Linked DNA regions of Notamacropus eugenii. The protein of the gene in region 1 purifies or fractionates together with the protein of each later gene. This does not show direct contact. Links are inferred from orthologs where the notes say so. Each region holds a gene or a part of one and is shown in the gene's direction. Other genes may lie near its edges.

Region 1 (10,307 bases):
TGAAGCTTATCTTATTTAGTCTTTTTATCTTTCCTAGCACCTTGCATAGTACTCTGATCAAATAAGGTCAATCAGCAAACATTTCTTATGCTTCTACGACATGCTAAGGACTGTATTAGGTGCTGGGGATATAAAGACAAAAAAAGATGAGAAAGAAACAACTTCTGCCTTCAAGAAGCTTACATTCTCTCAGGGGAGACAATATGTACAAACATAAGTATATACTGAATATATATGGAATAAACACAAAATAAAAACAAGTTGGTTAAATACAAGGTAGGTAGGCAGGGCGATAGAAGTTGATGGGGCAGAGGAATCAGAAAAGGTTTTGTGCATAAGGTGGTGCTTGAGTTATGTCTTGAGTACCATGTGTGATGAACAGACAGAAGGCCAGTTTAGCTGTACCTTGGAGGGCAGGAAGGGAAGTAATGTATAAGTCTGGAATAAGTCTGGAAAAAGAAGTTGGAGACAGGTTGTGAAAAGTATTAAATGTCAGAGAAATTTATATTTCATTCTAAAGGCAACAAATAGAGAGTTTTGGGAGTTTATTGAGGAGAACAACATGTTTAAAAAAATCAGTTTGGAAGTTGCATGGAAAATGGATTGGTATAGGGAGAGACTTGGGGCAGGAAGACAAATTAAGACTTCATTCCAAAGGTTCAGGCATTTGGTAGAAAGCTTTAATTAAAGTGGTGTCTGTGTAAGAACAAAGAGATGGGAAAGATATGGTGGAGATGGAAATGGTGAGACTTGACAAATGATTGGTATGTGGGATGAAACAGAGTGAGAAGTTGAGGATAACATCAACATTACAAATCTGTACGACTAGAAAAATGGCAGTACCTATCACAGGCAAGCTTAGTGGACCAAGGAGTTTAAGGTCAAAGATAATGAATTTTGTTTTAGGACATGATAGATACTTAAAGGACATTTCTTTGGCAATATCTAGTAGGCCAATTGGTGATGACAAACTAGACCTCAGAAGAAAAACTTGGGGCTTGATCTATGGCTCTTGGGAGTCAATCAAATCAATTATATTTGCAGGTGATTGTGCACTCAATGCAGCCTCTGAAGCTGAGATATAACAAAGTATGGATCAATTCTCTGCTGCCTGTGCTAATTTTAGCCAACTAATTAACACTAAGAAAACACAAGTGCTCTATCAGCCACTATCATTCATACGTGGAACCACTGGTTACAACAAACAGGGAAGTTTTGAATGCTGTGGATAAGTTCACTTACCTTGGTAGTGTACTTTCCAGGGATTTGACAATGAGGTTGACGCAAGCATTGCCAGAGCTAGCTCAGTGGTTGGAAGGCTCCGAAGAAAAGTTTGGGAGAGAAGAGGTATTAGACTGACTACCAAACTGAAGGTCTACAGAGCCGTTGTGCTGACCTAATTGTTGTATGCCTGTGAAACATGAACAGTCTACCAGTGCCATGGCACGAAACTGAATCGCTTCCATTTGAACTGTCTTAGGAAGATTCTGAAGATCACCTGACAGGATAAGATACCAGACACTGATGTCCTTGCTTGAGCTAAACTGCCAAGCATTCAAACTGTGCTTCAGAGAGCACAACTCTGATGGGCTGGTCATGTTGTTCGAGTGCAAAATATACACTTGCCAAAAAGACTGTTTTATGGAGAACTCGCATGGGGCAGGCGATCACACGGTGGTCAGAAGAAGCCATATAAGGACACTCTCAAGGTCTCTCTCAAGAACTTTGAATTTGATTGAGGGACATGGGAGACACTGGCATAGGACCACTCAGCATAGTGTGCCCACATCAGAAAGAGTGCTGTGCTCTATGAGCAAAGCAGAATTGAGATAGCACAAAGTAAGTGTAGGACGTGCAAATTTGGAGTATCCCCCTCAGGTGTTCACACAGACTATTTGTGCCCAGTCTGTGGTAGAGCATTCCAAGCTCATATTTGTCTGTTCAGCCACAGTTGGACACATTGAAACTTGACTTTATCATGGTGATGTCATTTTGGTCCTCTTTGAGAATGAAAGACAACAGCCAGACACTGCTAAGTACTGGGGGTATGAAAAGAGGCAAAAGATAGTCTTTGCCCTCAAGGACTTACAATCTAATGGGAGAGATGACATAAAAAACCCCCACAAAACAAGATATATCCAGGTGTCAGGACCTCCAAGGCAAGACCACTCCTCTCTTTTCTTACTATTAGGAGAAACCTTGTTTTCCAGAGCTAAGGCCTAGTACGCAATATGTGCTCTGAATTTGGCATAACAAAAATCCTTTGTGCTCATCCTCTGCATGAATTCTGCTGCAGTTAAATCACAGAATTCGATCTAGCCAGTCCCAGGTGGTTCCTGAACTCAGATAAGCACCTGCATGAACCACACTGTGGTCATGAAGCCCTACTATGCATAAACTTTTTTGCCACTAGGCAAATTTGCCTCATTGCTTTGGTTACACCTCACTGTCTGGTTCTTTGTCTATCCACAACTGTATGTATCAAGGCTTAGCCTCAAAGCCGTGGGTCTCCTCAGTCTTAGAGGAGGCCCTGGAACACGTTTAGTTTCCCTCTTCCAATGGAATAAAGAAGGCTTTTTGCTCATAGCCTGAGAGCTTACGTTTTCAGCGTCAATAGTTGAGGTACAACCTCCATGAGCTCTTTGGTATTTTCAGAGTTAACACTTGGTGTGTAACTTCTGTGGCTCTTTGGTTATTTATTTTCAGGTGACACAGGATAAATAGGAAATAATTAGCAGAGGTGAGGTGCTGGAATTAAGAGTAGCTGGGAGAGGTTTCCAGTAAGAGATGTGATTTTGGTTGGGTCTTAAAAGGAAATCAGGGAGGTCAGGAATTGGAAGAGAGAAGGGAGAGTGTTCCAGGCATGGGGGATGACCAGAGAGATACCTGGAGTTAAAAGATGGAGCCAGGAGGCCAATGTCATTGGATCAAAGAGTACACAGTGTGGAGTGAAGTGTAAGAAGATTGGAAAGGTAGGAGGGAACTAGGTTATGAAGGTATTTGAATGCCAAAAAAAAGAACATTTTGTATTGGTTCCTTGAGGTAATAGGAAGCCTGGAGTTTAATAAGTTGGGATGGGGTGACATGGTCAGACATGAGCTTTAGGAACTTTACTTTGGTAGCTGAATGGAGAGTGGATTGGAGCAGGGAGAAACTTAAAGCATGAAGATTATTTCAAGCTATTGCAATAATCAAGGCATGAGGTGATGAGAGCCTGTACCAGAGTGGTGGCAGCATCAGAGGAGAGAAGGGAGGCAAATTCAAAAGATGTGAAGGCTTTGACAAAAACTTGGGTGTGGAGGGTTAGAGAGAGTAAGGAATCCAGGGTGATTCCTAGGTTGTGTGAAGGGGCCTGTGACCTTGTTTTCTTGAGTTGCCTTATTTTCCAGAGATGAAGCCCCCCTGAACTAACATAACAGTGATTTTTTGCAGTTGGACTTTATTAAACTCTCAGCGTGCCCTTGAAGCTAAGTCAGCTACAAACCTGGCTCCGACCAACATAACCCACAGTGATAAACTGTGTAGTTGAGACCCTTTTGGATAAGCAGAATATCTTTCCTCCATGGGGAGGAGGAGGAGATTGAGCTTCTGCCTTTCTGCTTCCTCATCCTACTGCTCCCTTTCCCTTCCCATGCCACTATCCTTTGAGAGGCAATTATTGCCTTTCTCTCATCCCATAACCCTTACATATTCAAGGCCTTGCCTGCATTGTTGGCTTCCTCTGCACTCTATACAAGAAGGGACCTAGAATGCATGTTCCTGCAATAAAATAAGTTATGACTTAAGTCTTTTGGAGTTGTGACCACTTTTGAACAGTTGTGAGCCTGAGGCATAGGGAAGAAGGTGTGGCTCTCTATAGTAACAGGGAAGAATGGAGGGCAGCTAAATGGCACAGTAGATCTGAGTGCTGGGTCTGGAGTCAGAAAGATGAGTCTAAGTTCAAATCTAGCCTCAGACACCTACAAGCTTCATGACCCTCGGCAAGTCACTTAACTTGGTTAGCCTCAGTTCCCTCATCTGTAAATGAATTGAAGAAGGAAATGGTGAAACCACTCCAGTATCTTTGCCAAGAAAACCCCAAATGGAGTCACAAAGAGCTGGATGTGACTGATCAACCAAGGATGGCAGGGTTTAGGGGGAAGAAAATGAGTTCCATTTTGGACATATTGAATTTAAAATATCTACTGGAATCCAGTTTTAGATGTCTTAAAAGGCAGTTGGAAATGCAAGATTGGAGAATATCAGAGAGATTTGGACAAGATAGGCAGATTTGAGAATCATCAGCATAGAACTTGTAATTAAATCCATGGGAACTGAGCAGATCTCCAATAATGAAGCCCATGAGAGTTGATGATGTCAATTAAGCAAGAAAAGAGAAAAAAGGCCAAGGACAAACATTACCACAGTTAGGGGTATACCCACTTTTCAGAATTTGGACATCCAGCAAAGGAAATGGAGAAGAGGTCAGATGAGTAACACCTAGGAGAACCAGGAGGAAACATTGACATGAAAACTAAGAAAGGAGAGAGTATATAGGAATATGAGAGGGTCAACACACTCAAATGCATCTGACAGGTCAATGAGAATGGAGAGTGAGAGAACATCAGAATAAACACTGGCTATTTCGGAGAGAACAGCAGAGATGAGGCCCAAAACTAGACTGCAAAGGGTAAGATAATGTATGTAAAGCACTCAATACCCCTTAAGCCTGTATAAATGTGAGTTTGGCATTCAAAGCTTGCTGAATTTTTAAAAAGAAAGTGTTGTAGTCTATCAATTTTGATTGAGGACTCAAATTTCTAGTTACCCTCTGCATCTGTTCACTCTTCATAGTGCAGTAAACTACACCCCTCTTCCCCCAGACCCCCTCTATACAATCTGGGCAAAACGCTTAAAAAACAAACTCCAGAGCCTAAGTTAGGCTTTCTTCCCTCTCCCCATCATATCCCTGGGCTTTAGTAACACAGTACTGCCCCCACTTCTTTTAGAAGCCATATATATACCTGAATCCATTTACTCCACAGCTGTTCTTTTAAAAATCCAGCTGTTACATTAATGCTCTTTTGAAAAAAATAAATGTGTGGTATTTTCCTCCCAACTCTCCCTCATACCCCAATCAGTCCTTCGAGGTAAAACTAAAAAAACCCAAAAAACCCAATATAATTGGCCACGTGGGATAACTTGTAATATACCTCATTCCGCACCGGTAGCACACCACCCCTTTCTGGAGAGGCAAAGCACATTCCTGCTCTTAAGGTAGAGTTAAAGAGGAGACTTTGCACTTACAGGAAAACACTAGAAGATTCATCGTTTTCTTTAAGAGTATGTTTTTTCATTTTTCAAAGTTCTTTCACATTTCTCTTTTGATGGTCACCAGAGCCCCCCAACAGTTTTTAAAAATGCTCATGTGCTCACTTTCGGGCTCCATTGAGCGTTCCTGGGTCTGCAGCCCGGGTCTAGTGCTTCGTTCCTCCCGCACGGCCTGCCGTGTGCGGGAAGAGAGGTGTGGGACCTCTTACTCCCACAGATGGCTTTGGAAAATAAAGGCTGTTGGGAGCCAGGCGGCGCCAAGATTCCACAGTTGTGACAACTTGCCCGCGATCAGCCAATCCCAGAGCGAAGAACACGCCTGACGCGTTCTCTAGCCCCGCCCCTCTCCTCACGTGTCTTCAGAAGCTCAGGGCGTGGATTGGCTGCAGCTGTACGGGGGAAGGGGGCGGAGCCAACGGCCGAGCTGGTCTATGTGGGCCTATTGCACCCGTGCTTCTTTATTTGCTCCTGCCGTGGTGACTCCAGTTACCAACTTCCGGTCTGCCAGGACTTTCTCCGGGGTTCGGTGAAGTTAAAGGAACAGTCGTTTATCCGTGCTGTCGTTGGCTAACTCGCGGAGTCCTTGGTTTTTTTGGGGGGGAGGGGGCGTGTTTATTGTTTGTCCCTTTCGGCTCTCCGTACCTTCGTGAATTCCAGCCGTTCTGCTCTACGTGTGGAGCACGCGGCTTGCGTGGAAGAGCCGGAGACCACGTGGGCCCGGGGAGTGACGGGAGCATCCTCGGAGCCGGGGCGCCCGGAGCCCCTGCAGCTTCCTGTGCCACCGGCACCCCATCGAGCCCCGGCGGGCGAGCGCATCCTGCTTCCGCCATGAACTACCGGGAGCAGCTCATGAGCCGGGCGGTCCCGGGGCAGTTCGATGATGCTGACTCCTCTGACAGGTGAGAGGACCCGAGCGGCGTGCGTGGGGCTGGGGTCCCATCCCCCTGCGCTCCGGGGCTCCGTCTCCTCTGCCCCGCTTCCTGCCTTGGGCCGCAGTACGTGGCCGCACGCAGACCCTCCGAGCTAAGGGTCCTGCAGACTCCCCCCTTTAAGTGTTTGGGGTCAGGAGGTGTCTTTGTCATCAGAGCCCATCATTCCAAGCCTTTCACCGAGTTGATTTTATTTCAGTTCAGTTTCTTTGAGGAGCGAACATCGTTGTCCACTTGGCCCCATCCTTGACCCTCTCTCCTCCACATCAAGCTAAAGCCATCTGCATAATCAAACGAAACAATTTCTGCTTTGGACTTGTCCAAAAGATACAGCGTGACCCAAAAGTCTTGGTGCTTTTTAAAACCGTAGGAAGACTTTGGGTGTCTATGTTTACTGATTTTTTTGTACCCTAAAGTCCATCCCCTCTTTTTCAGGAGGTAAAGTAGCATATTTCATCATAAGTTCTCTGGCATTGTTTCACTTTTTTTTTTTGGTGTGGTCCTTGTCCTATTTTTTTTTTTTACTTTTCCCTCTAAATTTATTCATTTATTTGTTTTCAATTTTTCGCAATCACTTCTGTAAGTTTTAAATTTTCTCCCCTTCCCTCCCCAAGGCAGCATGCAGTCTTATATGGGCTCTATACACATATTCTTATTAAACACATTTTCGCATTAGTCACATTGCATAAAAGAATTAAAACGAATGGGAGAAAGCATGAATGAAACTAAACAAAACCAAACATAACAAAAGAAAAAATAGTCTGTTTCAATTTGGGTTCTGACTCCATTGTTCTTTCTCTGGATGTGGGTGACATTTTGTATCAGGGGTCCTTTGGAAATGTTTTAGATCCTTGCATTGCCTTAGCTATTTTCAAAGGCTACGGTGATATTTTGTTAATATGTCCACAATTGCAGTGTTGTCGTAAACACAGTAGTGTGTACATTGATTCCAGATGTCTCAAAATACAGCATTTTGTGCCTTTTTAAAAACAACACTTAAAAAAGTTTTCAATTAACAATAAATCTTTGTTTTTGTTTTACCTATGGGGAAAAAATCCCAGAATCCTTGGGATAAATATGCATAGTGAAACAAAATAAATCCCTTTCTTGGCCATTAAATATATATCTTAATCTGCACCCGTTTGTATTTTTTGAAGTTTGTTTAGTTATTTTAAAAAATTAACTTTGATTAAGTTTTTATTTCTTTTTGTAAAAGTGTCTCTTATTATTAAATGGAAGTACAAATGCCTTGAATTTCCTAATGACTTGAGATTCACACATCTGTGGCATTTTTGTCATGTTACCTTAGATCGCATGTAACATCATCTGAAAAATTCCTGTTTTTAGTGGAAGTACAACCAGCATGGAAACAAGCCAAGAGGAGGAAGATACATCTAAAAATTCTCACCAGACTTTGAATGAAGTTGATGAAGAAATTCAGGAAGATGATTATGAAGATTATGATGATGATGATGATGATTGGGACTGGGATGATGAAGTTGGGAAAATTACTAAGGGCTCTTGTTCATCTGGAGGCAGTAACCCACAGGTATTTTATAAATGAGTTTTTGATATCTTTCTAGTATGTACCTGTTTGCTTTTAATACAAGCTTTCATATCTACTGTATTGCTCTAAAACAAGATCAGCTAACCTTTTTTTCTGCCATGGTCTACTTTGATAGTCAGGTGAAGTCTGTAGGCCCCTTTTTGGAATGTTTTGTTGCCTACAGTCATAATTGGAGGAAATGATAAAATTCAGCTAAAAGGTTAGTGAAAATAAAGATGTAATTTTTTTCCCATTCAGATTCACTGACCCTCTGAAATATAGATTCTGCTTTAGAACTTAATACCTAGAAAAGATCAACTAGAATGATCTTTTCTTCTTGCTAATTCATTTTTCTCTATCTCTATATTTTGTTTTTAACATTTCATTCATTTCCAAATATAGCCTTCCCTTGATACAAAGAAGAAAATGGGAAAAAAACCAATTCATCAAAGCCAACTCATTCACAGTGTATGACAGAATATGCAAGCTTTCATACCTGCCTTTCTCAACTGTTCAGTTTTTATTCTGGTTTTTGAAAGGTGAGGTGATAATGCACCTTGGGTCATACATCTAGAACCGGAAGGGACCCAAGAGCCCATCTCTTCCAGACTCCTTGTTGTATGGGAGTTGTATGGGAGATGAAGACTAGCAGTAAATCTAGAGGTGGAATTGGAAGTTGGAGAGCCCAACCCAATGTTTTTGCTATTGGACCACACTGCCTCCATAGGGGACTGCATGTACTTATTTTGTGTAAATTAAAATCTAACATTTATGGATCTATAAAAGAAGAACTTAACAAATAATCTAAAACTACACCTTATTTGCAGAGGTAGAGAACTATAATTGAATGTTTTTCTTTTTTTTCTTTTATTCTTTGTGACAAGATTCGGCCTTTTGGTAATTGGGGAGAGACATTTGGAAATCAAGACGTAAAAAAAGTATAAAGAAAAATTAAAAATAAGATTTTTATAACACTAGGGAAAAATAATCTTACCTATGCATTGTGGTATAATGGAAAGAGGTCAGAACTTGAAATCTAGAGAGACTTGAGTTAGAATGCTGCTTCTGTGACCATAGGCAAAACCTGTCTCTGAACCTTAGTTTTATCAACTGTGAAATGGAAGTAATTCCTGTAGTGCATACCTTATAACATTGTTAGGAACATGCGTGCCCACACATACACACACACACACGCTTTTAATAATCTTAAAAGTGCTATGTAAGTGTCAGTTATAAAAATAACTTGGGTCAAGCAGAGTTGAGTATTTAACTAGGATGATTTATTATTATACTTTTGGTTACAGTTTATAAGTTTGTGTTTATATTTGTTAATTGTAGAAATTTCAGGCCAAAAAACTCTCCTTTTTATCTTTATTTTCTGTTTATTTGTGATTTATATATTCCATGTAATGTTTTTTTTCTCTTCAGGATATTCTTTTCTTCAATTTTTATTGGATACCTAGTAAGTGCTTACTGTGTAAGCATTGAGGAAGCAAAGGAAGGTGAAATGGTTCCTTTGCTCTAGGAGATCACATTTCAGTGGCTGAGACATATCCCCACCAGTCTACATAATATGTAACGTTTCCCTGTATGGAACATTGTTTCATTTCATTTTTATTAAGTGCTTTTTGTGTTCTGGGTACTGGGGAGAAACAAAGGAAGGAAAAAGCAGTCCCTGTGCTCTCAGAGCTTATATTTTAATGACTAAGACATTATAAATAACTTAGGTCCATACAACATCTGTCCAGAGTAGATGGGAGGCAGTCTGACTAAGTAGGACACTAGCATCTATCTGGTAGAGAAAGACCTCTTGCAGAAGAAGAGATTTGAGTTGAGTTGAGTCTTGAAGGAAAAACCAGGGAAGTTAAGAGGTGAGGTGAGGTAGGATGGGGGTGGAGGCCAGTACAGTGGCACAGAGATGAGAGTGGAAGTGCAAGTGGGCCAGCGTTTCTGAGTCATTGAGTATGTGGAGTGGGGTAAAGTACAGGAAAAAGGCAGGTTAAGAAGGGCTTTAGATGCCAAAGAGTTTGTTATTGGATCCTGTAAGCAATAGGGAGCCATTGGAGCTCATGGAGCAGGGGGATCAGCATGATCACATCTGTGCTCTAGAAGGATCACCTTGGCAGCTGAATGGAGGCTGGATTGGGGTGGGAAGAGACTTGAAGCAGAGAGGCGTTAAAAAAGATATAGCAGAGGTATGGGAGAGGAGATGAACGCCTGAATTAGGGTTATAATTGTGAGTGGAGAGAATGAGACATTTGAGAGATTTTGAAGGTAGAAATGACCAGATTTGGCAACAGATTATGTTGCAGAGGGATGCAAAAGTAGAGTCAAAGATGAAACCAAGGTTGTAATTGAGAGCATGGTGGTACCCTTAAGAGTAATGGGAGTGTGGAAGGGGTATTTCTGAGGAGGGAGGGAAGAAAAGGCTAATATTTTCTCTTTTGACCATGTTGACATTAAGATAACTACAGGACATCAAGTTCCAAATGTCCAAGATCCAATCAGTGATGAGGGTCTGT
Region 2 (10,737 bases), on another chromosome or scaffold:
ATTCAGACAACATGACCAGCCTATTGGAGTTGCACTCTTTGAAGCATAGTTTGAATGCTTGGCAGTTCAGCTTGAGCAAGGACTTCAGTGTCTGGTACCTTATCCTGCCATGTGATCTTCAAAATCTTCCTAAGACAGTTCAAATGGAAGTGATTCAGTTTCCTGGTGTGGCATTGGTAGACTGTCCATGTTTTGCAGGCGTACAACAATGAGGTCAGCACAATGGTTCTGTAGACCTTCAGTATGGTAGTCAGTCCAATACCTCTTCCCTCCCAAACTTTTCTTGGAACCTCCCAAATGCTGAGTTAACTCTGGCAATGTGTGATCAACCTCATTGTCAATGTGTATATCCCTGGAAAGTACACCACTAAGGTAAGTGAATTTATCCACAGTATTCAAAACTTCTCTATTTGTTGTAACCAATGGTTTCATGTATGGATGGTGTGGTGGTGGCTGGAGTACCTGTGTTTTGTTGGTGTTAATTATTAGGCCAAAATGAGCACAAGCAGCAGAGAATTGATCCATACTTTGCTGCATCTCAGCTTCAGAGGCTGCATTGAGTGCACAATCATCTACAAACAGGAAATCATGCACCAACATTCCCTCTACTTTGGTCTTGGCTTGTAGCCTTTTCAAATTGAAGAACTTACCATCAGTACAGTAGTTGACCTTGATGCTATATTCATCCTCACTGAAAGCATTTGACAACATGGCTGAAAACATCATGCTAGAAAGCACGGGAGCAAGCACACAGCCGTGTTTCACTCCATTGGTGACTGGAAAGGCATGAGAGATAATGAGTCCATTATCCAGAACCCGGGCAAACATGCCATCATGAAATTGTTGAATGTGGAAGAACTTCTCTGGGCAACCAAATTTTGACATAATTTTCCATAAGCCCTGACAACTAATCGTGTCAAAGGCCTTGGTCAGATCTACAAACGTTGTATGCAGACCTCTGTTCTGCTCCTGGCATTTCTCCTGGAGTTGTTGGGCAGCAAACACCGTTATCCACTGTTCCTCAGCCCTTTCTGAAGATGAATGAGTACATACATACATATATGTAAATGAGTGGTAGTTATGTTTCTAATACTACTTTGAAAGAATATCCAGGTAGCAGCCCCTAGTTAAACTGAATTCCCAGGTGCTCAGCTTTTGTTGCCAATATTTACTGTAGCTATACAAAGACAATAAAATCCTTAGAAATCCTGAGTTAATCTTTCCATTAAATTCCTAGGAAGTAGGAGTCATTCAACAGTGTGATAGTCTGGAGCTGTGATAGGGCTGGAGCCAAGAGACATGGGTTTGAATTCTAGATCTGATACTTTTAATAGTTGTAAATCATCCATAGCGTACTATGACCTTGAGCCTCAGTGCTTTCTCCTATAAAATAGCGATAATAGTACTTACTCCTTGCGTGACTAGGGTTATCATGAGGAGAGTGCTTTATAAACCATAAAATACTAAATCAACTTAAGTTGTTATCATACAAAATGTTTTAACTCTGAATTCTCCAGAACCTAGCACAGTATATTCCCCATATCTCAGATTTAGAAGGGACTCTGGGAGTCAGTCAATAAACTAGCATTAATTAAACACCAATTATATGCCAGGCATTATACTAAGAACTGGGGATACAAAGAAAGGCAAAAGACAGTTCCTACTCTCAAGGAGTTCACATGGGGGAGACAACATGCAAACAAGTCTCAACAAACAAAATACACACACACACACACACACACACACACACACACACACACATAAATGGGCAGCTAGGTGGCGAAGTAGGCTAGAGTGCTGGGCCTGAAGTCAGGAAGACCCATCTTCATGGGTTCAAATCTGGCCTCAGACACTTATGCTGGGTAAGTCACTTAACCCCTGTTTGCCTCAGTTTCCTCATCTGTAAAATGAGCTGAAGAAAATGGCAAAGCACTCCAGTATTTTTGCCAAGAAAACCCCAAATGGCGTCAAGAAGAGGCAGACACAACTGAAAAAAACAACCAAATGACAACAATTCATGGTCATTGTCTAATTCAATAGTGAACTATGTCCAGTATTTTGGACTGATATTAGAGGGAGTCTCCAGACTGCAGTGTCTGATTGGAGTCTTTGAGCATAATGTGGCCATTGTTAGTTTGAATTCAATGGGTATTTCAGTGGAGATATTTTTAAAATGATTTATTGTACTTTTAGCATCTGCCAGGAAACATAAATATTCAGCCAAATAGGAAAGAAGATTAAATTGTACATGGAACTGTAAACTTCTACTATGGGGTATTTTAAAAGTGTTAATATTATCTTTCACAGAGTGGTAACAAAATTGTTCTATTTGTTTCTATGTCCCCTTTTATTTTCCGGTCAATAAAACCCTTAGGGTACTTTCCAAGTAGTAGTCCTAGGGATTAAGTGAAGGGTTAAAGGATATGAACAGTTTTGTAGCCCATATTGTATACTTCTTTGTTGCTTTTCAAATAGATTGTAGCAATTCACAGTTTCACTCCTGGTTATATTGATCCTATTTTGCCTAATCACTTGAGTATTACATTTTTATCATTTTTAACAATCACTGCTTAATTGATGGATAGAATCAATCAGGTAGAATCAATCTCAGAGCTGCTTTAAATTGCATTTCTCTAATAATTCATTACTGCAGAATTTAAATACACATTACTTTTACTGTCTTCCATTTTCAAAGACTGATGGAAAGTTCTTCGTGTTACCAAAATGATCATTCAGAGTTCACCACTTTTTTCCATATTGCACATACACATGGAGGCTTAGTTCATTGATATGTGGCTGTAGGTCACTACTCTGCTGCTTCTCATCCTTGCAGCATGCCTGAGTTTTTTTGTTCAACAAAACCAGTCCAATTCAGATGGCCAGGATTGCGGTCAGGAATGTGGCAGAAGGGATCTTTCACTGAAGAGGGCAGAGGGAAAGCAGAGGGAGAAGAAGGAAAACCATTTTATCAGAGACGGAGACCTGGAAGGGATCTATCTTAGAGGCCATCACATCCAACCCTCTCATTTTACAGAGAAGGAACTTGAGGCCCAGACAGATGAAGTAATTTGCCCAAAATCACACAAACAGTAAATGGTAGAGCCAAGCTTTGAACCATGTCCTCTGATTCCAAATCCAGCTTTTTTCCCCACTCTACAATTCTAGGAAAAAGAGGTGGTTGGATCTGATAATCACTAAGGCTTCTTCTAGCCCTGAAATTTTGATTTGATAAGCCAAGTTTACCAACATGGCATGTCATCTCCTGTGGCTTAGTGCATCCTAAAAGCATTTCTTCTACCACCTCCATCACCCCAACATCTCCTTCCTCCCTTTATGATTTTCCCAATTGAACTCTCCATATGACATTTTCAACAATGATGTTTGAATTAAAACATTCCCATATGAGGATTAATTGAAGGGAATATTTAGCCTAAAGAAGAGAAATCAGGGATTGTATTCAGGAATTAGAAAAGCTATCAAGTGAAAAAGGAATTAGCCTTATTCTACTGTACTCTAGAGAGCAAAAACTAGGATCAGTAGATTAAAAATAGATGGATAGGACCAATAGATAGAAATAGAAGAAATATAGATTTCAGCTCATTATAGAGAAGAACTTCTAAGTAAAAAGAACTCTGAAAATGGATTGAAATGCATTAGAGCTATTAGAGATGTTCTAGAAATTTCTGCTTGAACACTCATCAGGCTTGGCACAGGACCACTGACTGGAGAGTTGGACTAATCCAATCCATCAATCAACATTTATTAAGTACCTACTATGCCAGTTGCTTCGATAATAACTGGAGATACAAAAAGAGGCAAAGGACAGTTCCCTTAAGGAACTCATAATAGACGTTGCAAATAGTAACTAGCAAACAAATATACACAAACAAACTGTACACACACACACACACACACACACACACACACACACTAAACAAGAAGTAATTAGCAAGGGGAAAGATACTGGAATTAAGAAGGGTTAGGGAAGGCTTCCTGTAGGAGGTGAGATTTTAGTTGGGAGAAGCCAAGGAGGTCAGTTGTCAGAGCCAGAGGGAGAGTGTTCTAGACATGGGGGACAGCCCTGGAGAATGCCCAGAGTCAAGAGATGGCCAGTGCCAGGGAAGGAAGACTGTGTGGCAGGGAGAAGGTTAAAGAAAACTGGAAAGGTAAAAGGCAGCTAGTTTATAAATGGCTTTGAATGCCAAATAGAGCATTTTGTATTTGCTGCTGGAGGCACGAGGGAGCCACTGGAGTTTACTGAGTAGTGAGGGAAGATGACATTGCTGGACCCACACTTACAGAATATCACTTTGGTGACTGAATGGAGGACAGATTGGAGAGGAGAGACTTGAGGCTGGCAGACCCCATCGGCAGGCTACTGCAGTAATGATCCAATTGCAAAGTGATGAAGACCTGCACCATGGTGGTGGTAATGTCAGAAGAGAGAAGGGGACATATTTGAGAGATGCTGGAACATGGAAATCAACAGGCCTTGGCAACAGGTCAGATAAAGGGAGTGAAAGAAAGTGAAGAGTCCAGGATGACTCCTAGGTTATGAACCTGAGGGACTGGGAACTCTACAATAACAGGAGGATAACAGGAGGGGAGGGTTTAGGGCCAAAGAGAATGAGTTCCATCTTGGAAGTGTTAAATTTAAAATATCCAATTGTATCAAGCTAGAGATAATTGAAAGGCAATTGGAAAGGGGAGATTAGAGGTCAGCAGAGATTATGGTGGGATAGACAGATTTGAAAGTCATGAATATAGAGATAGTAATGAAATGCATGGGAGTTGATAAATCACCAAGTAAAGCGGTATAGAAGAGAAAAGGGCCCAGGACAGAAGTCTGTGGGACCACTTTGCTATCTAATGGTCCTTCTAAATCTGAGACTTGGTTATTGGGGAATTTTCTTGACCTCTTGGGAGCCTACCCATCAAGGGTTGGTAACTGAGCCAAAGATAAGAGGACTTGCTGAAAACATTCCAATAACAGCAAATCAGCTTTCTGGTGTGGACTTGGCTTGTTTAGCCTTTCACAGCCATGGCCAATGGCAATGGCATTTCAGCTTGTGAGACCGGTGGCAATTGAGCATAGATAGAGAAGTAAAACATTTCTCTGTAAACAGAGAAATGAGTCAAGGGAGAAAAGGGGAATATTTGGAATGCCAGTGGCAGGCTTTATACATTCCAGTTCCAGGGCAGGAGACAAAGGGAAGAGCCCCAATACTTCTACTGTGGTGAAAACAGCCCTTTAAACAAAACGGCCGGCTTTCTTCATCCTAAGACAGCAAGTATGGGTTACCACAGCGGTTAAAGCCCACCTGCCGCAGGCTTTCCGGTGCCCTGGCTTGGGGGCTGGAGACTGCGATGTTGGGCACTGCTCAGATGCCACCGAGACGTCCTGAAGTGACTGTGGTTCCTGTTTCTCCCCCTACAACGGTTCGTTCAGAACACTTAAAATATCTTGTTGGTAGACAGCGGCCAAGAAGCGGGTACGCAAAAGACGGCGAGCTTCTCCAGCCGCAGCGAGGCCCACGCGGGTCCTGGCCCCACGACGCAATCCTGTTGCCCTTCCGAGTATCCTCTCCTGGCATCTCAGAAGCGGGCTTCGCTCCGGAGCCCTTGGTCAGGAGATCAAACGGCCGTCCAACCGGGCACCCACAGCGCAGGAGCTTCCTGGGGGCACTGCCCATCCGGGGCCCGGGCACCAACTGGCCCATGCCCAACACCTGCCCTCCGGGGCATGCCCAGCACGCCCCAGGTCGTGCTTCACCGATCGTGGGGGACACACGTTTCCAGCGACCACCATCCGGACCGGTCGCCCCACCCGCAGAGAGGTTCCCCCTCCCGGGCCTCGCCACGCCAGGGCCACGCTGCCTCGGGCGGAGCTAGGTCAACGCCCTCCCCTTCCAGGGGCTCATTCTACACCTGGGGAAACTGAGGCTCGGACAGGAGAGAGCAAGCGAGTGGCCCAGAAAACACCGCGAGTCCAGGAAAGAGCCCGGATTGGAAACCACGTGTCCCGCCCCCAAGACCAGAATGGGTGGGAGGGAGGGAGGCGGGCCGGTCTTCCAAGACCAGCGACCACTCTTCCTAGAAAGGCTCTGACTACTCCAGAGCGGAGGCGGTGGGCGGGGCTTAGCCGTCCTAGTCCTTCCGGGGTGGCCAGCCTCGCCCGGCCCCTTTCCTTCCGGGTTCGGGGCGAGCGTGTCTCCTTCGCCTGCGGTCCAGCCCCCCTCCCTGGTCCGCGGGCGGACACCGCCACCGCCGCCGCTGACAGAATGAGTTTCCTGAAGAGTTTTCCGCCGCCCAGCCCAGAAGATGGGCTTCGGCAGCAGCAGCCCGACACCGAAGCGGTGCTGGACGGCAAGGGCCTGGGCACCGGCACCCTCTACATCGCCGAGAGGTAGTGGCGCCGGCTTGAGGGGATGAGCGCGGGCGCGGCGGACCTTAGCGCTCGCCTAACTCCCGCCCCGTGCGTGGGCGCGCTCTCGTAGCCGGGGGCGGGGGGCGGGGGAGGAGACGGGATGCACGCATGCGCGCGTGTGCAGGTGTCCGGCGGCGGAGCCTCCTCGTGGGCGTCCCGGGCGGGCCGGGGGCGGTTGTGGCCGCGCTCGGAGTTCTTTGCCCCTGGGCGGGGCGCGGCGCGGGGCTCCGCTGGGGCGCAGACCCACTTTATCCCGCGTGTTTGCCCCTGGGGGGCGCGCCCCCTCCCCCATCGGCCCGCGACCGCTCGAGAGGGGGCCTGGCCGGCTCTTCCTCTTTGTGTCCCCGGCGCTTGGCGCAGGGCCCGGCGCGCAGTAGGGGGGCAATGAGTATTTGCTGACTGACCCGTAGACCCGCCGCCCGCACCGACGGAGGACCGGCCCTTGAGGGAGCTCGGCGTGGGGCTCCGTTTGCCCCTCCCGCCCACGGAGCCCTTCGCGACCTCTTCTCGAGGGCGTGGTTAAATTGGGGAAGTAAAGCCGCCTGTGGCCGTGCCTTCGGCCGCGAGCTAACACCTGTTTACCAGCCAGCCGTCTGTGCGGGAGAAATCCGCAGTAATGCCCCTGCCTTGGGGGAACTGGGGAAGGCTCTTTGGAAAAGGGAGGAGAAATCCCTCCAGCCCAAAAAGTAAAGTTCTGTCGTTCAGAAACGGAGCTGCTGCGGACTGAGAGCCGCGAGTGTGCGGAGGAAATGGGAGCGTGGGGCTACGGGGGAGCCAGAATCCCTGACCCGTGCTGAGATAGCCCCTGTCCCCTGGCGGGGAGATCCCAAAGCCGGCAGCTGTCCCTCCCTCTTAAAGGTGCTGGGGAAGAGTGCCCTCATGGTGAGTAAGCACAGTGCCAGGTGCTGGGCACCTGGAGAAGGAAGCTGAGGTGGGCCGAAGTTAAGTGACACCCCCGGCCCGGGCCTTGTAGCCGCCTCCAAGGTGTGCCCTTCGGCACGTGGTGCTGTAATGGGGGCTTCAACCAGGAAACATCCATTGAAAGCCTTTGCCTAACGAGTATCGCTCATTCCAGATACGTCTCTCGCCCAACTTGAGCCCTTTCCCCTCTGCCTTTCCTCCATTCATTTTCCACTTTGACTGTCCTCCTTTGGCCTTCTCCACCATCCCTTACCCCCTCCCCCACCTCCCCTTCAGCTTTCTTTTATATGTTGTCTTCCCTCTTCAGATTTCTAAGTTCCTTTAGGCAGGGACTGTTTATCACATTTGTATTCCTTGTACTAGCACAATTCTTGGCACATAGTGAGTAACGCATAATTATTGACTGACTTACTGAATTCTGCCATCCTTCCTTCTTACTGCTCCCAGATGAACCTTTCTGCCAAGTAAAGTTCATTCTCTTGCTTGTCTTTGAAGATTCTTAAAATCTGGTAGCACCCTATCTTTCCAACCTTATCCTGTTACACTGCAGCTCTGTGTTTTCCTGCCATTCTGAGGTTCTCTGTGCCTGAAGTATTCTTCCCTCCTCTTCACCTCTGATTTTCTGCTCATCTTTTCAGGCCAACTCAAAATTCTTGCTTCTTCAAGAAATCATCTCTGAGTCTCCCGAATCAAAAACAACATCTTTCCATACAGTACTGTTTTTATGCTTGGATAATTCACTTGGGTATTTTATAAGATAGTTTATCTATACATACGCTTTATCGTTAGATGTTAAGCTTTATGAGGGCATAGGGGAAAGATTATGAGTTTAATTTGGGACATGTTGAATTTAAGGTGTCTGCTGGACCTTCAGTTGGCAGTGTCTGAAAGGTAGTTGGAGATGGGAGACTAGATGTCTGCAGAGAGATTAGCTCTGGACAAGTAGACCTGAAAGTCATCTGCATAGAGGTGATTGAAACCGTAGGAGTTGTCCGTTGTAACTTGGAAGCTGCTAAATCTTGTATGATCCTAACCTGTGGCTCCACAATATTTGTTTCTTTCTGGCTTCTTGCAATAGTTCCTATTTGACCTGGAAGCTTTGGAATTTGGCAGTGATATTCCTGGGAGTTTTCATTTTGGGATCTCTTTCAGGAGGTGATTGGTGGATTCTTTCAATTTCTGTTTTACCCTCTGGTTCTAGAACATCAGGACGCTTTTCCTTGATAATTTCTTAAAATATGATGTGTAGACTCTTTTTGTTCATGGCTTTCAGGTAGTCCAATAATTCCTAAATTATCTCTCATTCTTTTTCTGAGGTCAATAATTTTTCCAATGAGATAGTTCAATTTTATTTCTTTTATTGTTTTTACTCTTTTGACTTTGTTTTATTGCTTCTTGAAGTCTCATGAGATTGTTAGCTTCCACTTGCACAATTCCAATTTTTAAGGAATTATTTTCCTCACTGAGCTTTTGTACCTCCTTTTCCATTTGTCCTATTCTGCTTTTTAAGGAGTTCTTTTATTCATTGAATTTTTATGCCTCTTTTACCATTAGGCCAATTTAGATTTTTTAAGGTGTTATTTTCTTTAGTGTTTTTTTTGGGGGGGGGGGGGCGGCTTCTTTTACCAAGCTGCTTATTTTCTTCATAATTTTTTACATCACTTTCATTTCTTTTCCCAATTATTCCTCTATCATTTTCTTTAACTCTTCAAGGAATTCTTGCTAGCCTTGGGTCCAATTAGCAGTTTTCCTTGTAGCTTTGCTTATGCCTATTTTCACGTTGTTGTCTTCTAAGTTTATGTCTTGGTCTTCCCTGTCACCATAATAGCTGTTTATGATCAGGTACTTTTGTTGTTGCTTGTTCATTTCCCAGCCTATTTCTTCTATTTGAATTTTATGTTAAAGTTGGGTTCTGCTCACCTCAGAGTAGGGAGGTGTTTTGCCAAGCTTCAGGCTTTTTCATGCTTCTGTTTTCAGAGCTAGTTCTAGAGACTTCTTAGTGCTACTAAGGTCGTGTTATTCTGGAAGAGGTATGTCATTGCTCTCCTGGTCTGCACTCTGATTTTTAAGGAGGAAGGGCTCCTGTTCTCCTGAAGCCACAAGTACTAATGCCCCCTTGTGGCCTACCACATGTACTTTTCTCTTCTCCGGAACTGGAACCCAGAACTGCTTGTAGGCAATACAGTTGCCAATCAGTGCTAGCTGCACCCACTGCCAGCAGAAGGTCCCCTGTCATTTCTTTCTGACCAGTTGTCCTATCCTCTTACTGTTTTGGGGCCAAGAGCTGAAGCTGCTGCTGCTACTGTTGCAGCTGCCTTCAAGGCACAGTATTGGCTAGTGCTCCTTCTATGCTCCAGGCTTGTGTCCACCCTGGTGTTACTGAACTCTTCTCCTCACCTCCTTAGTAGTCTCAGACTGCAAAAAATGTCTCCTTCTGACCTTTTGTTGGCTCTGCCACTACAAAATTTGATTTGAGGAGTTCTGGTTCCTGGCCTGTTCTCTGTCATATTAGAAAAATCTAGGGAAAGAATTCTTGAATAAAGGATAGCAATCAAAAAAGAGAAAATAGCCAGTTTTATCAACATAAAATATAAAGACTTTTGCTTGAATAAAATCTGAAGACAGAAGTGAAAAGGTAGGGTGGGAAAACAGTTGCATCAGATATTCTGGTATTCAAAATAGAGAGGTTATAAACATAAATATAGTAAACCAATAGCTATTTTCCAAAGGTCGAAGGAAATGAACTAATTTACAAAAGGTTTGCAAATTTTTGACCACATGAGAACATGATCAGAATCGCTAATAGTAGGAAATACACATGATATGCTTTCAAGTTGGATGATCCAAAGACATCTCAATTTCAGCATGTCCAAAATTAAACCCTCCACCCTTCCAAACTTCCCATTTTCTGTCAAAGGCATCGTTGTCCTTAGGGATTCAAGTTTGTAATCTTGTCATGATCTTTAACTCCTCTCCTTCACCTCACACAGTCATTTGACAAATCTTGCCTTTTCTACTTCCACAGCATGGATTGTAATTGATGACCCTTCCTCCACTTCCAGAGCTGCCACCTTAGATCAAGCCCTCATCACCTTTTCCAACTATCTGTGTGTGTGTCCAAGATTTGATTAACTCCTATGGCTTCCTATTGCCTCTAGGAAAAAAAATATCAACTCTATTTAGCTTATACAGCCCTTTGTGATACAGATTGAAATACTGGTTTCTGCTTTCTTTTTTTTGTTCAGTTTTTCTTATACAAAATGACTAATATGGAAATGTCTTATATGATTACACATGTATAACTGCTTATCTCAGGGAAGGGGAAAAGGGGAGAAAAGGAAGGGATAGAATTTGGAATTCAAAACATAAAAAAACATTAAAAATTGTTT
Region 3 (10,779 bases), on another chromosome or scaffold:
ACTATTTTTTTATTCTTTCATTCAGTCACTGGCAAACAGGTTTTTTCTGTGTCTGCCAGTTCAGTCCCTCAATGGTCTGAAGCCTCTAGCTCTCCACTGGGTTGGCTTTGGGGTGATATTTCTGTGAAATTTTCCTTATGTAGATTGTTTCTGGTTTCTTCCACATGCCAGAAATCTCTCCTTGCTACTGTCCCTGCTGATTCCGTGATCATGAAAGAGAAATACCTTGATTGGGCTTATCGGACTGGTGGCCACAAGAAGGCAAAAAGAGTCTTTATGAGGTTTGACAACTCTCCCTGCAGGTGTCCCATGTGGCCTGTCCTGTCACTCTCTTGGCCTTTCTCCTCTTGGCCGAACTTTGCAATTCTCTATCACATCTGCTCTTGAAAGAGATGACTTGTGACCTTTTGGGCCTCATTATGCAGTCTTTGGTACAGACAGATACATGCAGTTGTGAGTGAGAGACTAGACTTTATGTAAAATTCTGCTTAAATAACAGAAACCCCAAAACAACAACTCTAGGTCCAAAATGAGTAATTTGAAAATTGGTTCTTGAAACAGAAATGAGGGATACAAGAAAGATGGGCTGGGGGTGGGGAAATGGAGTTATCAGTCATTTAAAACACTGGTGGTCAGTGCTGGTGCTGACTGGGCCTGAGCCCTGAACTTATCTAGACATCCTGGCTGCTACCCGGGTGCATGGGCTGTGTTCACTATAGGTTCTTCCACAGTGATGGGCACGTGGGAGAAATAAACATTTCTTTTCTGTAGTTTACGTGAAAACCGCCCATTTTCAGTTCAGTTCTTCAGGAGGATGATCCAGATTGAAAAGGAGCAGGTATGTGAGTGTGGGGGCATTGTCACTGTGTCCTAGTTTTTTTGAGAAGCCTCCAGCTAATTGGGGGTGGGGAAGAGGGAGAGGGAGAGTAAGAGTGAGAAAGAGGCTTAACAAATGTGGGTCCCTGGAGTCCCCTGGCCTTGCCCCTCTATAGTGCTGACCATTTAGTAGGTGTGACCAGCAAAAGAGAAGAATCAGAAGCTAAAATACATAGGAGAAAAATACGGGAGTCAGGATCTGGCTTTAGGAGAACAACATCTATGAAAAAATGTCTATAAATTAAGTGACCTCCGTTTACATTATAGACATTTCCCAGGTGAATTTAAAATGTAATTGGATTTGCATGCAAAAGCACCAAGGTGTTATTAGGATCGCTGCTGGGAAAGCAGCCTCTTTCTACCTGCACATGGAAAACAACCCTGGAGCTGAGAGAGCGAAGGACAGGATTCTGTTATATGAAGGCATAGGTAATGATATGGATCAGCTTCTCTTGAGAATATGACGGAAGGAAACAAGTTGAAGATGAAGTAATTGGGATTTAGGAGATTTGGCCAAAAGAATGAGCTTCTTTTCTGATGCTGAGTCAGGCCCCTGCTGGAGGATTGTTCTGTTTCATGAGCTCTCCTGTCTACTTGTTTTGTTAGGAAACCTGCAAGATGTTGAACTTAAGAGAATACTATGAGAGAGCCTTGAGAGAGTTTGGTTCTGTGAATTCCGGTAAGGAACCTTTTCTTTGTTGGAAGTGTGTGTGTGGAGATGGAGGTGGGGTGACTGACTCTCTTGTAAACATATTTTTAGAGTCTGGGTCTTATCTGTGGAGAGGGGTAAATTTGTACTTAATTTTTTCTGTATCCTGGGTCCCTTGGGCCATCAGTCTAGTGAAGCCTCTGAGCCCCTTCTCAGTCACATTTTTAAAAAAATCCCTAAACTACATAAGGACTTTTTAAAGGAAACTGATTATAACAAAGTGCTGTTACCAGAGTACACATTGTGTTGTGTTTGTCCTTCATTCTCAAAGAGGACCATGACATCAAGATGATGACATGATTTGCAGTTGACTTTGATTTGAGTGAGGGAGGGCTGTGCAAGGTCACCAACTTCACTTTCTTCTGAGCCATCTGGGTCTAGTGGCCTGATATTCATCAGGACGGCTGGAGATGGCCCAGGATGCAAGGTGAGACCCTGGCCCTTTCAGGTGAAGGTCTTATCACATTCTGACTTTGAGTGAGATACACCCATTCAACAAATAGGCTTCTTTAGGTAGTTACTCCAGGGATGGCCCCTTTAATGAAAAAAAAAAATCAAACTGGGAGGGGAAGACCCTCAGGGTTCCAGGGTAAAAGAGAAACAATTACTACTTAGTAATTACGTTGACTCTGTGCTAGGTGGGTGTGGACTTGTCCAGTCTATGAGCTCCAGAGTGAATTGGGTTAAAGCTTTATCTTCAGAATACACATATATAAAAATGAAGACCCTTAACCTAAGAGCATCATTTTTTGAGTGACCTGAGCTCTTCTGGCCTCCAGAACTCTTGGGTCTGGTGAAGGCCAGTGGCCTGCTCTTTGCTGGGACAGCATGCCTGGGGGGTGGGGTGCATACACTGGTGTGACTGATTTTTCTTCTTTTAAGACCTGTGGTTGGATTACATCAAGGAAGAGTTGAACCACCCTTCTGGCAAACCAGAGAACTGTGGGCAGATCCATTGGAGAGCCATGAAGATGCTGAAGGGAGAGCTGGTGGAGGAGTTTGTGGCCAAATACACTTTACTGCAGATTGGCCAGTTGTAGGAAGAGTAAACAGCTGGACTTGTGAACTCTTTTTATAAACCCTTGTGGTAGATCGACATTGCGGGTGGATCTACCATTTGTACAGAGATTTTTGCCTTTGATTCCCAGTAAATACTGAACTCTGCTCTCTGACTCCTAACTAAGAGACTTGCTCCTTCTTGGATTTCCATTTGACGGCTTTATCTGGAGGAGAGAATTTAGTGAAAGACTGTTGTCCATCCAGAACAGAAACAAACGTCTACTCTCCCATTGACCTTTTCCAGAACTGACAAAACCTGAACATCAATCATTCTTCTTTCCTGAGTGGAGGGAATAAGTTTTTGTCCTCGTCTTCTTGGTCCTGTCCCTTCTGGGTTTTGTTTGTTTATATTTTGAAAGGCAACAAGAACATTTCTTTTCTGAAAAACTCCCAAAGTGTATTTGAGCTCATGAAGTTTAATAGAGGGAGAAGACACACTCTTGGCAGTCCTATCTTTTGAAAATACTTAACAAAATATTACAGACCTAGAAGAAGACAGTTTTAGGGCAGGGGGTCCTCATGCTTAGCAAACTGCATTATATTAACCACTTGTGTTACATAGTCACAAGCCAATGAAATGCCAGTCCTGAAGAATCAAGATTGGAAATTACTTAAAGAACAGCAAAGAATACTTTATGGGCATAAATAGGATACAATTTGTTATCAAGGACAAATTGTACACATGGAATGTTGCAAAAAATTTTGGAATTGTAGGATGGGAAAAAGTGGTGATGTTGAAGTTTGGAGCTGGGCTTAAAGAGGGGAGCCTGAGGTTTAGAGCCCATAACTGGGAAGATGGTGGTGGGAGGGACATTTACCATGGAGAAGAGAAGGCTTGGAGGAGTAGTGAGGGGGATGAAATGTGATAACAGTCTTCAAGTATTTGGGAGGCCATCCTGGGGAAGATATATCAGACTTGTTCTGCCTGGCCTCAGAGGGCAGAACTAAGTTATGTTTGGAAGTTAGAGAAGGCAGATTTTGACTCTTAAAGAAAATTTTCTTAGAGATTCTAGGGCTGTGTAATCTTGGCATGGACAGGAAGTAGTGAGCTCTCCTTTATCATGGGTCTTCAGTCCCAATTAGGTAACCAGTTGTTAGAAATGTTGGAGAGGTAATTTTTGCTTCAAGTTGAGAGTTATACTAGATTACATTTAAAAGTCCAACTCTGATTCTGAAATGGGGAAGTTGTGAGGAAGGGGACATTTTGGGAATCTTAAAAAAGTCTGTGAGATACTCAGGTAGACATTTGCAAATACAAGATTCAAACTCCAGGGAGAGATTTGGGTTCAATACATAGATTTGGAAATCATGGACACAGGTGATAATGCTGTGGTAGTGGATGGCAGTGTGGAAAGGTGAGATGAGTCACAGTTAACTAAAAGCACAAGCCCCTCATGTCTGGTGCAAAGGACTTCAATACTCCATCTGAGAGAATTGGGTCTGAACTGTACTGTATGGGGTGATTCCTATCACTTAGCCCCCATCTTGTGGGTCTAGTAGCAGCTGAAGATCACAGTTTATAGGCCAGGTCAGAATGGGAAGTAGAGCACAGGGAGGAACATCCTCTGATGATTTTTATTGGTTGGGCTACCCAGCCTACGCTGTAGGATACAGGGTTAGTGGGGAAGGTATGGGGTTAAGGAGGAAAGGGGTTGGTGAACTCCTGAAGAAGGTCCTAATGAGACTTCTGGAGGAATTAATTATCAGAGGTGAATACAGAGTATAATTATGGGATCATACAGAAATATTACAATTTTTGGAAGCTACAGGGCTCCTTGCCTCCAGTTCCTTCCCTTTAGAGGCACTAGGTAAAAGCACATCTGATTGTCACACCCCTTCCTGCTGCTTCTAGGAGAAAACGTGTTTGTCCTTCATTCTCAAAGAGGACCATGACATCAGGATGATGACATGACTTGCACTTGACTTTGATTTGAATGAGGGAGGGCTGTGCAAGGTCACCAGCTTCACTTTCTCCTCCAGAACCATCTGGGTCCAGTGACCAGATATTCATCAGAATGCAATGTGAGACCCTGGCCATTTTAGGCTAAGGTTTTATCACATTCTCACTTTGAGTGAGATACACCCATTCAATGAATGGGCTTCTCTAAATAGTTACAAAATCAAACTGGGAGGGGAAGATTCTCAGGGTTCCTGGGTAAAAGACACGGTTACTATTTACATATACTCTGTGCTAGGTAGGCAGGGACCTGTTGTCCAGTCTTTGAGCTCCAGAGTGAATTGGGCTCAAGGCTTGGTCTTTGAGCAAGAAATCTAGCCAGTAAACCCAAAGGAAAAAAGGCAGCTTCTGGCAGTTACTTTTTTCTGGGTAGAGCACCCCGGGGAACGTCAGAGAGGAGAGGAGAGGATTAAATAGTAACTGTTTCTCTTTTACCCAGGAACGCTGAGGGTCTTCCCCTCCCAGTTTGATTTTTTTGTTGTTGTTATTAAAGGGGCCATCCCTTAAGTAATTACTTAGAGAAGCCTATTCATTGAATGGGTGTATGTCACTCAAAATGAGAATCTAAGACCTTAGCCGAAAATGGTCAGGGTCCCACGTTGCATCCTGGGTAATCTCCAGTTGTCCTTATGAATATCTGGTCCCTGGATCCAGGTGGTTCTGGTGGAGAAAGAGGCTGGTGACCTTGCATAGTCCTGCCTCCCTCAAATCAAAGTCAACTGCAAGTCATGTCATCATCTTGACGTCATGGTCCTCTTTGAGAATGAAGGATAAACACAACCTTTGAGTAGCAGTTCCTCTCTTCTCTGCCCTTGCCTGGGGTGCTCTACCCAGGGGGAAGTACACTTCCATGACCAAAAGTTACCTTTTTTCCTTTTGGTTAACTGGCTAGATTTCCTGCCCAAAGACCAAACCTTAAACCCAATTAACTCTGGAGCTCGAAGATTGTACAACAGGTTCCTGCCCACCTAGCACAGAATGAATGTAAATACTAAATAGGAGAAAACACCAAGTAGCTTTGAAAGCTCATCATCCCTTGGCCCCGTTGGATGATCCTCTTCCACTTGCCCCATGCTCATCTGGGCGTCTGACCCTCCTTGGGCCTCTCTGGATCAGCCATTTGAACCCCTCAGCATTGACCTTTGCCCCTGAAGTTACTGCCTTTGCCTCTGCCCCAAGAGGCCCAGCATTCTCCCTCCCCCATTTCCCTAGTGCTGCATATAACTGCTTGGTATGTTACGTATTTTATATGTGCTTTGCATTTGAAGTGGCCCCCACTGGAATGGAAGCTCGGTAAGAGTCTTCATTGTCACCAGCACCTAGCATAGTGCCTGGTATGTAGCTTTAGATGCTGGTCGGTTATGTGGGTCATCCAGTTCTGCTGCTTCTGCAGGACAGACCATGGCAATTCCCAGTGGGACCCAAGGCCTAAAAAGAGGAGGGGGCTGGACTGGATGGTTTCAAAGGCTCTTTTCATTCTGGGTTTAGGATGAATGAGGCTTTTGCAAATTCTCTCCCTTCTGCCCAAGTCCTCACCTAGGCAGAGGATGAAGGGCAGGGAAGACACGCGTTTGGAGGAGAGCACAAAGCTTCTAGGTTTGGCTCTGCTCGAGGCTCCGCCAATGTCCGTCAATCAGAATTTGCCCCGCACCAGCTGCCGGAGGCTGCCGAAGTCCTGGTCGCGAGGGTGCGGATCTTGGTGGGAGACAGCTTGCTATATCGGAGATGCCAGGTAGTGGGGGAGACGGGAGCTCCTCTAGATGAGCGGGGCTTTGAAGGAAATGGGAGGGCTGAAGGTAGGGGTCAGGAGGGCGTGCCCTCCAGCCCCGGGACTGGAAAGGGTCGAGTGCCCAGTGCAGGTCTGTCTGGCCGGAAGGGGCGATGCACGCGTCTGGAGGAGTGGTCCATGTGCCCCGGGCTGGCGGCAGCCGGCGGGTCCGGGCCGTGTTCCGCCCCCTCGGCGCGTCTTCGAGGCTTCTGGGCTGGACGGCGCCCGAGGCTCCTAGCAGCCCGGCCAGAGGTCGTCCTCTTTGGGGATTGACGAAGCTGGCTCACCCTGACCCCGGCCTCTAGGCCAAGGCCAACCACCTGCTAAGGCTAAGCCCCATCTCGGCTCCTTGGGAGGGGTCACCCGGCCGGGACATCCTCGGGGATTTCCGCCAATGGCCGAGCGCGTCAGACAGACCACGCCCCCGGGTCCACCACGTGACCCAAGCCACGCCCCTGATTGGCGCTCCTTGTTGCCTTTCGGCCGGCAGCATGGGGAGGTCGTCACGTGGGGGCGGTGGCGGCGGCCGTGGCGCCTCGGGGACTGGCGGGCATGGAGCCGCTGGCTGCGGGGGCCGGGGGCGGTGAGGGGCCGACAGCCCCGGAGGGAGAGCCGCCGCCGCGGGGCGCGCGGGCTGGGGAAGAGGAGGAGGCGCCGCCGCCCGAGCCACTGCCGGAGCCGGAGCGGCGGGAGGAGCCGCCCAGCCCAGCGACGGTAAGGCCGGAGCCCCCCGCGCCCACCCGAGACGGGACCGAGGCCGCGGCGCGGGGCCACCACGGTCCCTCCGCGCGGCCCCTCAGGGCCGGGGCGGGAGGCCCACAGCTGGGAGGGAGGGCGGGAGGCCGAGGGCCGCAGACTTGAGCCGTCCCATCCACGGGCCCCTAGCCACCTGCCCCTCCCCCATCCGGCGGGCACCTCCTCCTGCCCTTCCTCCTTAGCCTCTCCCAACTTTTCCCCTGCCCCTCACTTGCCTTCTCCCCCCATCTCTCCTGGGTCTGTTCTTTACCCGCGCTCTCCCCCCGCTTCTAATACAACCTGTGAAGCCCACTCCCGACTAGGTAGTGGCCTTCGGGGACCCTGTGCCCCGGGGGCAGAGGAGGGGGCGGTAAGGAGGCTTCTCCAGTCTTCAGGTGGCATCTACTGTGGGAGAATCGGCCAACCGGCAGGTACTTCGGGTTTTTTAAGTGCCCACTCGTGCCGGGCCCTGTGCTCAGCTGGAGGGGGCTCGCTATCTTGGGGTTCCCCGAGGCTGGTGAGGAGTGAAGGGATGTCAGGCCCGGCGGCACTCCCTGCGCTGCTCTGCTGAGATTCCTCCCAGGAACAGGACTGGGCTGCTGTGCCACGGGTCCTTAGGTAGATCTGAGGAGTCTGTGAACTTGATGGGGAAAGAAATGACATCTTTACTAAAGTGTAATTGGTTTGCTGTGTAATCCTACTTATTTTCTTTTATGCATGTAAAAGCATGATTCTGAGAAGTAGTTCATAGGTTTCACCAGGTTGCCAAAGGCATCCAGGGTGCAAAAAAGATTTAAGAACTCCTGCTTTGAGGAATCTGCCCTTAAAGCAAGCAGCCCACCACGGAATGCCAGGAGTTCTATTTCACTCCTTGAAAGTCTTTGAAAGCATGTACTGGTGGTAGGAAATTATTCAGTCCTAGGTCAGATCCTGACCTCAGGGGGACCCTGCGTGAATACCCTAAGAAACATTAGTCATCTATCTGGTTACCTGCAGATGTTCAGATAGCAAACCTTGGCTTTGTATGCACAACTCCACATTGTGCCTGGCTTAGTAAGTCTTTGGAAAGGCTCCTTAAACGGACTAAGGTCCTCTATACTCGTTCTGTTCTGCCCTAGTGAGAGAAATATCAGTGAATAGGTGGAAACTATACTTCACCCCAAGAAGACAAAAACTCCCCAGATAAGAAGCCAAGATGGTGGTCAGCATGCAGGTTTTGTGCACGTTCTGTCAGGATGAGGAGAGTAAAGGTTCTTTACCTTTCTTATGCCTTTCACCTCTTGGACTGATAAAACTGAAGGACCCTCAGAATCATTGTTGTTAAATGCCTAAAATAAAATATACAGAACTGAAACCAGTTATTGAAATTCAGGGATCAAACTTTTAAAAAACTAGTGCACAGCCCTAGGTTGATAACCTTTATCGTAGAGAAAGGATAAGTGAGGGGTGGGAGGGAGTAGACTGTTGTAGAGTAGATTTTTTTTCATCATTCCATGGCCAGACTGGGCAGGGAGAAGCATGTGCAGAGGCTTGTATCATTAAGAGATGGATGGAATCTCCAGGGGTGTCTAGTCAGATGCCTCCTTTTACAGATGAGGCCCAGAGAGGGGAAGGGATGGCCTGGGACACGTGGGTGCTTATCACTTCTCAGTTTGAGACAGTATCTTGAGGAGCATTGAGACTTTGAGGGGCTGTTCGAATGGAAGGAGAGAACATTTAGATGGGCTTGTTGGGTAATGGTGTGGGAAGAAAGCATGCTGGTTGCCCAAATTACTTTTACAAAAATATTACTGTTAAGTGATGGTTATTTTCTTTCAGCCAAGAAACAAAGTTCCTAATTGTTTTTCCTTTGTTCAGGTCAGCTTGGCTATGTCTGACCACATCTATCAAAAGAAGGAAGGAGATGAGGATGGGGTCATGAGATGGAGACCAAAACTAGGCAAGTAACCATTACTAGGCAGATGTTCAGGGTCAGAAGGTGGGAGTAAGTGATAGAGACAGAGGTGTCCTCAGTCCCCGTGCTATGCTGTGCTGGTTCAGCTTGGCCCTAGAGACCAGAACCAGGGGTAGTGGATGAAAGCTACGAAGAGGCAGATGGAGATTTGTTACCAAGAAACCCTGGCTAACCATGAGCTTCCCAGAAGGGTAGTGGGCTGCTGTCTGGTAACTTTCAAGCTGTAGCTGGATGACCCCTGTCTGGTGTGCTTTGGTGAAAATTTCCCTTTCATTAAGAGTTGGACTAAAAAGTTGCTGCTAAGTGCCATGGAGGTTCCTTCCAACACTTTGTGGTTCCTTGAGAGCACCTTATTCTAGGTTAAGTTCTAAATTAAAGATACTACACCCTGCCTTGGGATCTGGGTTGAGATCCTCAACCTGTGCAGCCTGAGGTGGGTGCCTTGGCATCTCCTGCCTTCTCTTTGTTCCACATCCTGTCTAGTCTGTCTTCTTTTCTGAGCTGTACACCACCTCTTTTGTGGATTATTTCCCCTCAGAGTTGCCTGCCCAAGCTGCATCAGATATCTAGAACTTTCTTATCTGCCCCAGATTTTCTTTCATCATTTAGATGGCTCCTAAAATCCGGCTTTTACCACAAAGCCTTTTTGAATTCAAGTAATACTGATGGTTTCTCCCATCTGCCCATCCTATGTCTCTTGTGGCCAGGATCTTCCGAGGGTCCCTGTTCCCAAACTGTGTCCTAATGTGCTCTCTCTCCCCATGCTAAATGGGGAGATGAGGGGCAGAGAAGTAATGAGATGAGACTACTCAGACTTGAGTGTTCTTTCTTCAAGATACAGTGCTGCCTTTCATATATGTTTATCTGTGCATGCATATGTGTACATTGAGAATCATTGGATTTAGCCCTAAGGAGCGTAGAAATTATCTAGTGGTATCCAATTTATTCAAGTGTGACATCAAAAAATGTAGTAGAACTTTAGATGCTCTTTGGATCCTTTGGGAAAACTAGAGGATAAAAAGTCTCCTATTAATTGAGTAATACTTTTAAACAAATTGATACTAAAACAGCGTCTGTGTAGATTTGAAAAATTAGTAATATTTAAAGGTTTGAGACACTGTTTAATACACAGAAGCATATTTACTTATGTAATAGTGAGCAATGCTAGGGATTTAGATCTTACTTTGAGGGGCTTTCACAAGATACCTTGTCCCCTCAAGGCTCTAATGCAAATGAGAAACTGCTGATTTTGTCTAGCCCCTTTTTTTATAGTTGGGAAACCATTGTTGGTGACTTACATATAGAGATGTGTACACATAAGATTTATTTTTTGGGAAAAAAAAATAAGACTGTCTTCCAAAGCCGAATAGAAATAAATTTGTGTTATCCTAATCATCACTTTCCTCTGTCATTGTTGTTAATTGGGAATTTGCTATCCTTTCCGTTAGGAATTTGCTTTTATTTGAAGAACTCAGAACAACCTGATGGCCATTCTTGTGTTTATCAAACATTTATAGAACTTTTCCTTCTCTCTTTGCCTGCATTGCAGCCTGTGGGGCCCAGAATGTACTCATGCAAGGGGAGAGTGACCATCCTGAAGATGATGAGATGCAGGAGTATGAGGACTCTGAGGAAGACTTGAACTGGGAGCTGGAAGATGGGATGGAGAGCATTATCCCAACAGAGCAGAAGGCTGAGCCTCCTGTTAAGGAGGATTGGGA

Evidence for each region.
Region 2: the proteins of RIOK1 (region 1) and CLNS1A purify together in Homo sapiens (affinity purification with mass spectrometry; 3 studies listed by BioGRID and IntAct, with this or other methods). This does not show direct contact. The link is inferred for Notamacropus eugenii from reciprocal best matches to the Homo sapiens genes RIOK1 and CLNS1A.
Region 3: the proteins of RIOK1 (region 1) and COPRS purify together in Homo sapiens (affinity purification with mass spectrometry; 3 studies listed by BioGRID and IntAct, with this or other methods). This does not show direct contact. The link is inferred for Notamacropus eugenii from reciprocal best matches to the Homo sapiens genes RIOK1 and COPRS.

Annotation. Positions count from the first base shown.
Region 1 is NC_092875.1:177,886,718-177,897,024, forward strand, and holds the start of RIOK1 (serine/threonine-protein kinase RIO1), read left to right. Parts: upstream 1-5,963; 5' UTR 5,964-6,138; coding exon 6,139-6,209; intron 6,210-7,586; coding exon 7,587-7,788; intron 7,789-10,307. Other genes in the region: CAGE1 (cancer-associated gene 1 protein), read right to left, coding at 5,287-5,308. UniProt on the Homo sapiens protein: Involved in the final steps of cytoplasmic maturation of the 40S ribosomal subunit. Involved in processing of 18S-E pre-rRNA to the mature 18S rRNA. Required for the recycling of NOB1 and PNO1 from the late 40S precursor.
Region 2 is NC_092876.1:125,810,514-125,821,250, forward strand, and holds the start of CLNS1A (methylosome subunit pICln), read left to right. Parts: upstream 1-5,975; 5' UTR 5,976-6,281; coding exon 6,282-6,406; intron 6,407-10,737. UniProt on the Homo sapiens protein: Involved in both the assembly of spliceosomal snRNPs and the methylation of Sm proteins.
Region 3 is NC_092873.1:311,903,590-311,914,368, forward strand, and holds the start of COPRS (coordinator of PRMT5 and differentiation stimulator), read left to right. Parts: upstream 1-6,828; 5' UTR 6,829-6,921; coding exon 6,922-7,083; intron 7,084-8,961; coding exon 8,962-9,043; intron 9,044-10,607; coding exon 10,608-10,779. Other genes in the region: UTP6 (U3 small nucleolar RNA-associated protein 6 homolog), read left to right, coding at 172-281, 772-838, 1,483-1,555, 2,468-2,625. UniProt on the Homo sapiens protein: Histone-binding protein required for histone H4 methyltransferase activity of PRMT5.